3 linked regions of the Lonchura striata genome follow. The protein of the gene in region 3 interacts with the protein of the main gene of each other region in a pairwise test. Links are inferred from orthologs where the notes say so. Each region holds a gene or a part of one and is shown on either strand. Other genes may lie near its edges.

The links. The genes of interacting proteins can lie anywhere in the genome.
Region 1: the proteins of NDEL1 (region 3) and MRC2 interact in a two-hybrid assay, tested with the Homo sapiens proteins (2 studies listed by BioGRID and IntAct). The link is inferred for Lonchura striata from reciprocal best matches to the Homo sapiens genes NDEL1 and MRC2.
Region 2: the proteins of NDEL1 (region 3) and CCSER2 interact in binary tests that used the Homo sapiens proteins (3 or more experiments, as listed by UniProt). The link is inferred for Lonchura striata from reciprocal best matches to the Homo sapiens genes NDEL1 and CCSER2.

The regions. Positions count from the first base shown.
Region 1 is NC_134627.1:1,140,389-1,144,131, forward strand, and holds the start of MRC2 (C-type mannose receptor 2), read right to left. Parts: upstream 2,762-3,743; 5' UTR 2,694-2,761; coding exon 2,579-2,693; intron 1-2,578. UniProt on the Homo sapiens protein: May play a role as endocytotic lectin receptor displaying calcium-dependent lectin activity. Internalizes glycosylated ligands from the extracellular space for release in an endosomal compartment via clathrin-mediated endocytosis.
Region 2 is NC_134609.1:4,661,465-4,665,207, reverse strand, and holds the start of CCSER2 (serine-rich coiled-coil domain-containing protein 2), read right to left. Parts: upstream 2,345-3,743; 5' UTR 2,259-2,344; intron 1,547-2,258; exon of another isoform or gene 1,362-1,546; intron 1-1,361. UniProt on the Homo sapiens protein: Microtubule-binding protein which might play a role in microtubule bundling.
Region 3 is NC_134621.1:1,236,023-1,239,765, forward strand, and holds the start of NDEL1 (nuclear distribution protein nudE-like 1), read right to left. Parts: upstream 2,510-3,743; 5' UTR 2,406-2,509; intron 1-2,405. UniProt on the Homo sapiens protein: Required for organization of the cellular microtubule array and microtubule anchoring at the centrosome. May regulate microtubule organization at least in part by targeting the microtubule severing protein KATNA1 to the centrosome.

The sequences.
Region 1 (3,743 bases), on a different chromosome or scaffold from region 3:
TGAACAGTTTTGCATGGAAGGTTAAATTAAATCTCTTTTCACTCTTGTCATTCTTGCACAAGCACCATCCTCAACCCTGCTGCCATATCCTGGTGGCTGCTGTGGCTGCAGATGGTGGTGAAGTCTCCACTGTCTCTTGTGCCCTGCCAGGCTCTAGCAGCAAAGCTAACACCTCTCACCCCTTTTCCTGCTCCCAAACAGTCTGAAGAAGATCAAGATATAATTTCTAGGGGCTCCATTTGCCATGCAACAAGCTATTTCCATTAGGAAGGGGAAAATGGGGGACATTAATGTAATGGCTGCTCTGTTTGCTCTACAGGCTGTAAATTCTTCCCAGGTCCCTTTTGTGTTCTCTCTTGCCCCACAGCTGACATGGTGGGACCTACACTGAGCATTGGATAGGTGGAAAGTCAATCCAGCACCAAGACCTGGCAGTGAGACAAGGACCTTGTCCTGCCTGCAGCCATGGCAGGATGGGAGCTGCTGCCTCTGTTTCCCTGAGAAGGTATGTGGGTGCCCACACGACACTGCACAGATGTGTGAACTGAAGGAGATATTCCACCAAAGAGCCCAAAACCTCCTGCCAAGAGCTCTGCTCCACCTTTCTGGCTGTCCTGGAGGTGAGGGTTTGGCACAAAACTCTTAAAGAAGCAAGAGTTCCCCAGGGGAATCAATGTCTGTCTGCTGGGCTGGCCCCCACTAAAAGTGTCTTTGGGAACAAGGAACTCTTGGGATTACTCCATCCTGATCCCAAACTCCCAGTAAGGATCCTCTCTCAGCTGCAATCCAGCCTGGTGCTGGGGAATCCTGGATGTGGCACCTCCATTGGTGCCATCCTCTGCCCCCTTCATCCACTAGGTCTGAAACAGGACTGATGCAGGGCAGGAGCAGCTGAAAGTGGGGATGGGGAGGAGAAAGAGCTGAGGGTGCTCAGCACCAGCAAGGCCTGAGTGACACAGCCCTGCAGGCTGGAGGCCACTGAAAGCTGCCTTGTTCCTTGCCCAGGCCCAGCATGAGGTCAGCTGCCACTGCTCCTGCTCCACAGCCAGAATAGAGGTGCCTCTGTTCTCAGAATTGTCAGACTTGGATCCCACTGACATTTTTTGGGATGAAACAGCAAGAATCAGCCTGTAAAGGTAGCAAAACCTTGCTGAAATGAAATAACTCCCTAAAAGCCCACAGAAGGAGGAATTCATGGCCCTCAAGAAAATTATGGGGAAGTCTAACAGGAATTCAGCTGTGTGAAGTCCAGCTGAGACGTCCAACAAACAGCAGCAAATCCTGACTGCTCTTCCAAATGCCCCAGGGTACAGGGGTCTCCTTTCCCATTGCTTCCTACTTTCTCATATCCCAGCCAAGCAGTTTCTCCTCTGAACTCAGAACTGACCCCTTGCTTGGCATGGGATTGCTGCCCACTGTCATCATGTCCATGAGACCATGTTTGCCCCTTGGGTGAGGCAGCTCAGCCCCAGGCACTGTGAGACTGAGGGGAGAGGGGAAAGGCCAGGGGGCGCAAGGGGAGATGGGGGAAGGGATCAGTGTGATCCTATGCTGCCTCTTCCAAATGTGCTTCAGATTTGCTAAATGTGCTCTGACAAAATAGGTCAGGGGATCTGAGTTGTTATTTTCAGGCAAAAGTAGCCAATTTTGCTTTCTTTTCAAATCTTAAAATTTTCTTAATAGAGCCAAAATAATTCAAGGAAGCCCCAAAAGCAATTCCTTAGTTCTAGGCTAGACTGTCCTGGGATGAAAAGGGTCTCAAACGGCAATTTCAGGGGCCATGCAGTGGATCTTCCAGTGTCTGACTCATGGTGCCATCGGAAGGTTAAAATAAAAGATAAAATACAATCCACTGACTTTTTTTTTTTTTTTCTAGTAACTCTTCACAATAAAGTTTGCAAATATTCACTCGGGCCCCTATCCCGGAGGGCCCTTTTTCCTAAGATAGACACGTCGGGAGAGGGGAGTGAGTCAGGATGGGAGAGGGCAGCAAGAGCCAACAAAGCTATTCGCCCCCCTCCCAACCTCCCGCTCCGCGAACTGCCCTCCCCGGGGAGACAAAGGGCCGGAGCGGGGCTGCGGAGCGCAGCGGGCCGGCGGCCGTCCCGGCCAGGAGCCGCCCTGGGCCCCCCCGCGGCCGCGGAAGCGTTTCCGCTGGCCTCGGCCGGCGCTGCGTGGCCACTCGGCGCGGGGAGTTAAACTCAAGAGTGATAAAAGTGAGTGAAAACGCGGCGGAACGGGAAGAAAACACGACACCACCAAACTGGAGAAAAGAAAACGCGGCGGAAGACACCACGACCGGACAAGGATGGAGTAAAACAAACCGTAGTAAAAGCAAATAAAACACTCCGCGAGGAAATAAGCCACAGCGATGTGATCCGCGTTAGTGCCAGGCGGCCCCCCCGCCCTGCGCGCCGCCGCGGGGGTCCCACCGCCCCCTCTCCGGAGGAGCCCGGCCCGGGGGGGATCCCACAGCCCTGGTCTGGCTCCTCGACGTGGTTTGGCTCCTCGCCCCCCCTTTTCCCCCCGATAAGAAAACTCGGGAAAGTGGAAGGAGGGAGGGAGAGCGCGGTCCCACCTGGGTGAGCAGCGCCGAGCACCAGCTGGAGCCCGAGGAGGCAGCAGAGGGGGCCGCGGAGTTGGGGGCACAGTGGGGAGCACACGGACCGCGGGCCCCCTGAGCCGCGCCCCATTCCCGGCGCTGCCCGCTCCGCTCGGGCCCCTCCTGCCGCTCCTGCCGGGCCGGGGCCGCGGACGGGGACAGGGGTGAGGGGAGAAGGAGGAGGAGAAGAAGGAGGAGAAGAAAGAGGAGGAGGAGGAGGGACGCGAGCGGGAAAGGGAGGGAAAGAAGGGGACGGCGGGGGGGGGGGGGGGGGAGGATATGTTACAAAATAAAATAAGAAAAAACACGAAGCGTGCGCGCCGGGCTTAGACACTGCGTCAGCAGACCGGGGCCCGGCCCAGCGGCGGCGACAGAGCGGGGCGCGACCCGAGCTCCGGGGGGCTCCACCGCTGCAGCGCATGGCTGCGGCGGGGGGTCCGGAGATGAAGCGGGGGACTGGCAGAAACGAAGGCCGGACTGGCCAGGGCATCCCTGCAGACGCCCAGGGATGGCTGGCTCTCCCCAGCAGGGTACCCACGCAGCTCTCTTCACACCCTGAGAGGTCTCAATGCCCTAGTACGGGGCGGAGGGTGTGGGGGAGATGCCCGCGGTGCCACCGGCCCCGCATCCGCTTCCGCTGTGGGTCCTCAGCGTGGGACCCCACCTCGCCGGAGACAGCAGCCAGGGTCTGCTTTGAACTCCCACCACACATCGTCGCTTGCACTTCTGGGTGCCAGGCAGTTATCATTCCAAGCACAGCCAGCCCAGCTGGATCATCCTCCATCCATCCCTGTGGCACAGAGCTAGGCAGCTCCCAATCCAGCTGTGGATGCTGAAGTTGGACATGGCTCACTGCACTTTCCACCACAAGCCCAGTGCCTCCAGCCATAGGGTGCTGGTGCAGCTCTCCAGCTTCTGGTACTGTGCTTAGGGCATGAGACAAAGAACATCCACAATATTTCATGTAGGTATATCCCACATTCTGGAGCTGAACATAAAAGGCTTTTAAAAACTTTTGAAGGACTTTTAAACTTTTATTTTTCACACTTCCACTCTAGCAGGACTAGCCTCCCAAAGAAGGCAATATACGTGGAAAACACTGGAAGTTGGCATATTCCTGGCTTTTTACATCCATTTGGTG
Region 2 (3,743 bases), on a different chromosome or scaffold from region 3:
TACTTTTCATCAAGGAGGAAACAACATTTCAGAATATCTTGAAAATGCACCTACTTGCTAACAGTTTAAGGTGAGCTGGGGTGTGTGTCCAAGAGCTGTGAAGAAATGCAAAGACCTTTCCTGACTAGCCAAACTTCAAATTTAAGATAACTATTTAAAGCTGTTGGGATTTTACTGTAACGTACATGTGTGTAGGTATCCAGAGATTTACATAATCTGTTTTTATTGCTCTAACTGAAACACAATACAGGATTTTCAACCTAATTACCAAAAGCACCATTAGTATTTTGATCTCCTTAGCATCCCTGTTGGCACGGGACTTAACCCTGCCTGAAAGCTTCTAATTAGGAAGATGGTGCTGCTGTTTACAGTGAATAGTGGCTGAAAGAGAACACCACAACCACTGTTGATATATTTTATCATATTACATTCTGCAATCTTATATTCCTTCATCTCCTCTCCATTTTGAGAGATCCACACTTTCTAAGGATTCCAGGCAAGCAATGTTCATGACAAGACTGATGGCATGACAGCCTTTTATCTAAAGATCCCATTGCCAACATTTCCCATTAACTGGTTTATTCCAAATAACCAATCCCTCTTAAAGGATGATCAGGTCCAAAAGTAACGGATTTTACTCCAATAAGCTTTTACATGAACAGTTCCATTAAACAGGATTACTCATTACTATAACAATACATTAAATGAGATCATTATATTAACTGAGACTATTTCTACCCTTTTCAACAGCTTTACAGTTAAAAGACAATACTGAGCAGTTTCTGGAGTCCAAACATTGACATTTTTATAATGAAAAATACTATATAGGAGCAGAAAGTAAACTTCAACTTCAGAAACAACTTTTAGACTCTTAAGTTGGATATTGACGTAGATCCTTGGCTGACATTTAGGTTACTCGTGTCCCATTTGTTAGGCCATCACCTCTTCAGCTGGGAGGCATATAATTCAAAATGGGCCCATAGAATTTAGAGGCACATGATCATTATATACACGAGAAAAAAAACCTTGCCAATTTCATTCATTATCAACAAACAATGTAAATGTTTACTGCCTCAGGCTAACCCAAGAAGATAGAAGTTTACTAAAGTCTCGGTACATATATGAAGTGGCTCTCAATGTAACAAAATGAGAACTTAAGATTCAACTTCATTTCACTTTTAACACCTTCGCAGCAAAAAATTCTATTCTGCACCAAAGCAAGGCTCAAAGCCCACAGACACCAAGAACAAACCTGCTATAGATATGAAGTTCTAACCCTGCAAGATGCACCAGCTTCCCTGAAAAGCGCTCTACATCTTTACACAGCATACCAGACGGAGTACCAGATCGACAATCCTTACCTTAATTTGATGTCTGGCCTGGACACTACGGCTCTGCTAGAGCATAAACTTCCCATGCAGTTTTGCTTTCTTAAACTGAAGATAAACAGCTCGACCTCCTCCAGCTCAAAGTTAAAGGCTGAGGTTGCCTACGTTTCATTGTGTGCCAAAGTACATTTGACAGAGCACGAAGTGAACAGCAGGCTCTGGGTGACGAAAGCAAAGTCTCAGTATCATTAAAGAGAAATCACCACAACCTACAGAACATCCCCTTGGTATAAATCTCAACAGATCACTGCTCAAGTAGAAATGCCACCATTATAATTATTTTCCACCGTTACTGTTTTTTTTTTTTAATTGTTGTCTACGAACACACACTGGGTGCTTTTGCTTCTTCCCCATTTCGTAGACTAAAACCCTCGAGACACGAAACCTCACGCTACAACACCTCGGCGGCCGGGGCTCGCAGCAGCTGCCCCCAGCACCTGCGAGCGCGTCTCCCCGAGCACGAATTACAGGGCGCACAAACCACCGCAGCGCCGGCGCCGGGCCCGCCGTGCCGGCTGCCCCGAGCCGCAGCGCGGCGGCGGCGCGCCCGCGGCATCCGGCCGGCGCGGAGGGGAGCGCGGAGGGGAGCGCGGAGGGGAGCGCGGAGGGGAGCGCGGAGGGGAGCGCGGAGGGGAGCGCCGAGGGGAGCGCGGAGGGGAGCGCGGAGGGGAGCGCGGAGGGGAGCGCCGAGGGGAGCGCCGAGCCCGCCCCGCCCCGGCCTCCCGCGGCCCCGCTGCCGCAGCATCCCCGGCCGAGCCGCGACCCCCGCCCCGGCGCAGGGCGGCGGCGCTGCCGGGAGGACGGCGGCCGCTCCCCGCCGGCACAGAGCCCCGATGAGGGGGGCAGGGGTGGCGGCCGCCCCGCACTCACCGGCGGACGGCGCGGGCCGCTGTCGCCTGCCGGGGCAGGGCCGCTCCGCGCCCTCGGCTCCCGCCGGCCCGGCCCGCGCAGGGAGGGGCGGGGGGCGGGAACACGCAGCCGCCCGCGCCCCTCGGCCCGCCTGACGTCAGCGCGCCCGCCCGCCCGGCCCATGGCGGCGGCGGCGCCGGGGCGCATCGCCTCATCTCCCTCATCGCCCCCCTCGCCCCGGCTCCCTCATGGTCCCCATCGCCTCATCTCCCTCATCGCCCCGGCTCCCTCATGGTCCCCCTCGCCTCATCTCCCTCATCGCCCCGGCTCCCTCATGGTCCCCCTCGCCTCATCTCCCTCATAGCCCCCCCTCGCCTCATCTCCCTCATCGCCCCCCTCGCCTCATCTCCCTCATAGCCCCCCCTCGCCTCATCTCCCTCATCGCCCCCCTCGCCCCGGCTCCCTCATGGTCCCCCTCGCCTCATCTCCCTCATCGCCCCCCTCGCCTCATCTCCCTCATAGCCCCCCCTCGCCTCATCTCCCTCATAGCCCCCTTCGCCCCGGCTCCCTCATCGCCCCCCTCGCCTCATCGCCCCCTCCGCCGTGCCCCACACCGCCGAGCCCCACACCGCCACACCACAGCCGTGTGACGCTGCCACCGGGCGGGCAAAGCCTCTGTCAGCCTGCCCCAGCAATCGCCGAGCTGGCTGGCAGAACCAAGGGCAAATGGGAGTTGTTGAAGGCATTGCAGGAATGGGCCTGCGAGTGTCCCGGCCCTGCGGCATGGGAGGGTACGATCATAGCATCGTCTGGGGTGGAAGGGACCTGTAAGATCACCCAGTGCGGCCACTGTAAGCCCTGAACCATCACCCAACACCAGATCCCGATGACAGACACCTCCAGAGACTGTCCCTGTGCCACCTCTCTGCACAACCTACTCCAGTGCCCAACCACCCAAACAGTGAAAAAACTGTCTTCTAGCATCTGTTCTGTTCCTGTTCAAGGCCATTTCCTCCTGTCCTCTCTGCAGGCACTGCAGAAGAGACCGGCCCCACCTCAGTAAACCTGCTTTCACAGAGCTGCAGGCAGTGATGATGGCCCCCACCCCAGCTCCCTCGCTGTTCCTCACAAGATATATTTTCTAAACCTTTCACAAGCTTTGTTGCTCTTCTCTGGACATACTCCAGTCCTTCAATGTCCTTTGTAAAGTGGGGGCCCAGAACTGAAGACAGCACTCGAGGTGCAGCCTCAGCAATGCCCAGCACAGGGATTGGGATGATCCCTGCCTTGGTCCTGCTGCCCACACTACAGCAGAGGCACTCAAAGGAGAAAGGTGGTGACCCAGCTGTACAAAAATCCTGAAGGACTCTTGCAGTCACCCATGGGAGACCAGGCATTCTCCATGCCGGTGCTCACAGAATTAATTAAGTTTAATTTCCTCAAATTTTCTGCCTGTGCTAGGAATTAGAAGGCACTGACAGAAGGCTCAGGAAGTTCCTTGCCAGT
Region 3 (3,743 bases):
CTGGCTTTGTCTGGGGGTGAGGGCAGCACAGCAGAGCAGGCAGTTTGTGAACACACTCCCCACTTTATCTTGATTCTGTTTGTGGTGCCACAGACATCAAGGGCTGCAAAAATACCATTTCCTTTCTGCAGTCTGACTTTCCTGGCACCTCAAAAAACCAACTGTAATGCTCTGAGGGCATGCACTGTGCTTTGCTGCTGTGCTTCCTGGCAGTCTGCTGCCAGCAGCGTCTCCAGACAAGATTCCTTGTGACACCAAGGTCACAGACATCATCAGCCCCGTGCTTTCTCTCCACTTTCCTATTTTCCTTTCTCTTCTCCGTCCTCCACCAAACGAGGAATTATCTTACGAATCTGCAAACTCTAAAGAGTCAGGGGGAAAAAAGGGAGGGTTTTCCCCTGAGGAGGAAGGAAGGCAACTCAAACACTGACTCAAACACTGCCCCTGAACACTTCCTTCACTTCTGGGACTCCCAGTGACAAGTTTAATTAAATTATTAAACCTTCTCACCAGGGCTGTGCCTCCACATATACAACAATACAGAAATGCACAGCCCAGCCAGGAAACAGGACAGGGGATCTCTTCTAGGGCAGAGCTAACACTATTAATGCCAGATCCACACTCCTTACCCAGCTCTGCCACAGTTAACTGGCACCATCAGCCAGCCTGCCTGTGCAGTCACGCTGCAAACACGTCAAACTGGCATTTAAATAAATAAATATAGAAGCACAGAATTATTCATGTTGGAAAAGACCTCTGAGATCATCAAGTCAACCTCTGACTAATCACCACCTTGTCAACCAGACCAGGGCAATGAGTGCCACATCCCAGGAGCTCCTTGAACACCTCCAGGGATGGATGGATGGGGTCTCCACCACCTTTTCATATCTAAAAGCTTCCCAGTCTCTTTTCTGCCTTGGGACAGCTTCTTCCTCTTACAGTTGCTGATATCTCTAACAAAACACTGACCTTGGAAAGGCCACCAGCTCTCAGCAGGAACAATTCCTTCCTCAACAAGGAATTATTTCTTTGTGGGGGGTGGGGTTTGGAAAAAAATGTAAAGGAAGAAAAAAAAATTTTCTGAAGTATCCAAGGAACTCTTCTGTAGCAATTTCTTGTGTTTAACCACCTCTCAGGCAACAAATGCCAGAGGCATCCAGACCCTGCACTTGTGAGCAAGTCAAGGCAGGGAGAAGAGAGAAACCCTGAGTCACTCCCAGCACAGAGCGGGCTGTGGGTAGGAGAGAACCCTGCAGGGATGTGCCGGTGGGAGAGGAGAACCCTGCTCCTCCCGGGAGGGACAGGGATGTGCCGGTGGGAGAGGAGAACCCTGCTCCTCCCGGGAGGGACAGGGATGTGCCGGTGGGAGAGGAGAACCCTGCTCCTCCCGGGAGGGACAGGGATGTGCCGGTGGGTCACCGGGCAGGCTGGGCAGTGTCGCTGCTCTCTCCCAGCGCATCCTTCCCGCACGTCGGCTGCAATTCGGGTCACGCTCACCGGGCACGGGCTGCTGGGGCTGGGCACGCCCGGACACAGCGCACAGGGCTCCCAGCAAGGCCAGGCACCGCCGAGAGGAACCCTCGCGGAATTACCGACTGAATTGCCGGTGGAATTACCGACGGAATTCCTGACAAACCCCCCGGGAGCGCAGAGGGCCAGGGCAGGGCAGGACCCGGAGGCCAGCGGTCCCAGCTGGGAGCGAACAGCCCCGGTCCCCGAGCAGGGCACCGAGCTCCCCCGGCCCGCCCGTCACATCCAGGGGTGACGACTGCACCGCCACCTCCCTGCCCGCTCCCGACCCCAGCACCAGCTCCGGCAGGAATTTCCTCCCGGAAAAGACGCTGTGCCCCGGGCGGAGCATCCAGCAACAGAGGCGGACCACGCGGCCAGCTCCAGTGCCGGGAAAACGCCCGGGCGGGGGGCGAGGCCGGCAGAGCGGCGGGCAGGGCCCGGGACACCCCCGAGCCCCGGAGCGGCCCCGAGCCCCGGGACAGCCCCGAGCCACGGTGCAGCTCCCAGCCCCGGTGCGGCCCCGAGCCACGCTGCAGCCCCGGTGCGGCCCCGAGCCCCGGTGCGGCCCCGGTGCGGCCCCGGTGCAGCCCCGGTGCGGCCCCGAGCCCCGGTGCGGCCGGGCCGGCCCCGCTCCCGGCGGCGCGGAGGGGCCAGGGCGGCGGCCGAGCGGGGCCGCGCCGTGACTGACACCGCGCGCAGCCAATGGGAGGCGGCGGCGGCGCAGCCGCGGCCAATGGCGCGCCGGGGGCGGGCCGTGCCCCGTTGTCAATTGGCAGCCAATGGCGGCGCCCCCGGCCCGCCGCCCGCCCGGCCCGCGCCCCCCGCCCGCCGCGCCGGGCCCCGCTGGCCGGGCCCGCCCGGTGCCCCCGCCCGGCCCCGGGCCCGCCGCTCACCGCAGCGCATCCCCTGCCACAGCCGCCGCCGCGCGCGCCCGCCGGGGCCGCCTCATCCGGGGACTGGGGGGCGAGGCCGGCGCGTGATGCAAGAGCCGGCGGGGGCGGGGGCACCGGCGTCACACCGGGCGGGGCCTGGATGGTGCCCGGTGCCGGTGCCCGGTGGCCAGCGCCGGTGGCCGATGCTCGGTCTCGGTGCCCGGTGCCGGTGCCCGCTGCCCGCTGCCCCTGCCCGGTCTCGGTCTCGGTCTCGGTCTCGGTTCCGGTGCCCGGTGCCGGTGCCGGTCCCCGTTTCGCACGGCGAGGGGATCCCCCCGTGCTCGCCCCCACCCCGCCGGCCGCCCCCGGGGTGAGGTGGTCCCGCCCTCCTCCTTTGCAGCCTTCGGGAACTGCCCCCTGCCCGTTCTCTGCCGCTCTGTCCCCGGTGACCCCGGCGGGGGCACACCAGGCACGGGCATGGACACGGGCCCTGCCTCGGGGTCCCGGACATCCATCCCTCGGGGTCCCGGACATCCATCCCTCGGGGTCCCGGACATCCATCCCTCGGGATCCCGGACATCCACCCCTCGGGGTCCCGGACATCCACCCCTCGGGATCCCGGACTCCATCCCTGGGGATCCCGGACATCCATCCCTCGGGGTCCCGGACATCCATCCCTCGGGGTCCCGGACATCCATCCCTCGGGATCCCGGACATCCACCCCTCGGGGTCCCGGACTCCATCCCTGGGGATCCCGGACTCCATCCCTCGGGGTCACGGACATCCATCCCTCGGGGTCCCGGACTCCATCCCTCGGGGTCCCGGACTCCATCCCTCGGGATCCCGGACTCCACCCCTCGGGGTCCCGGACATCCATCCCTCGGGATCCCGGACTCCACCCCTCGGGGTCACGGACATCCATCCCTCGGGGTCCCGGACTCCATCCCCCAGCCCGCGCTCCTCGCGCCTGTTTCCCCCGGGAGCGCCGCTCTGCCTCGGAGCCTCCTCCGGCAGCCGGCGGCGGGCAGCGGCCGGGCCCAGGCGGGGCTGCGCTCCCCGGGGTGCGGGAGGTGCGGGATGCGCTCCCAGCGGTGTGGGCTGCGTTCCCAGGGGTGCGGGATGCGTTCCCCGGGGTGCGGGATGCGTTCCCAGGGGTGCGGGATGCGTTCCCCGGGGTGCGGGATGCGTTCCCAGGGGTGCGGGATGCGTTCCCAGGGGTGCGGGAGGCGCTCCCAGCAGTGCGGGATGCATTCCCAGGGGTGCGGGATGCATTCCCAGGGGTGCGGGATGCGTTCCCAGGGGTGCGGGATGCGTTCCCAGGGGTGCGGGAGGCGTTCCCCGGGGTGCGGGATGCATTCC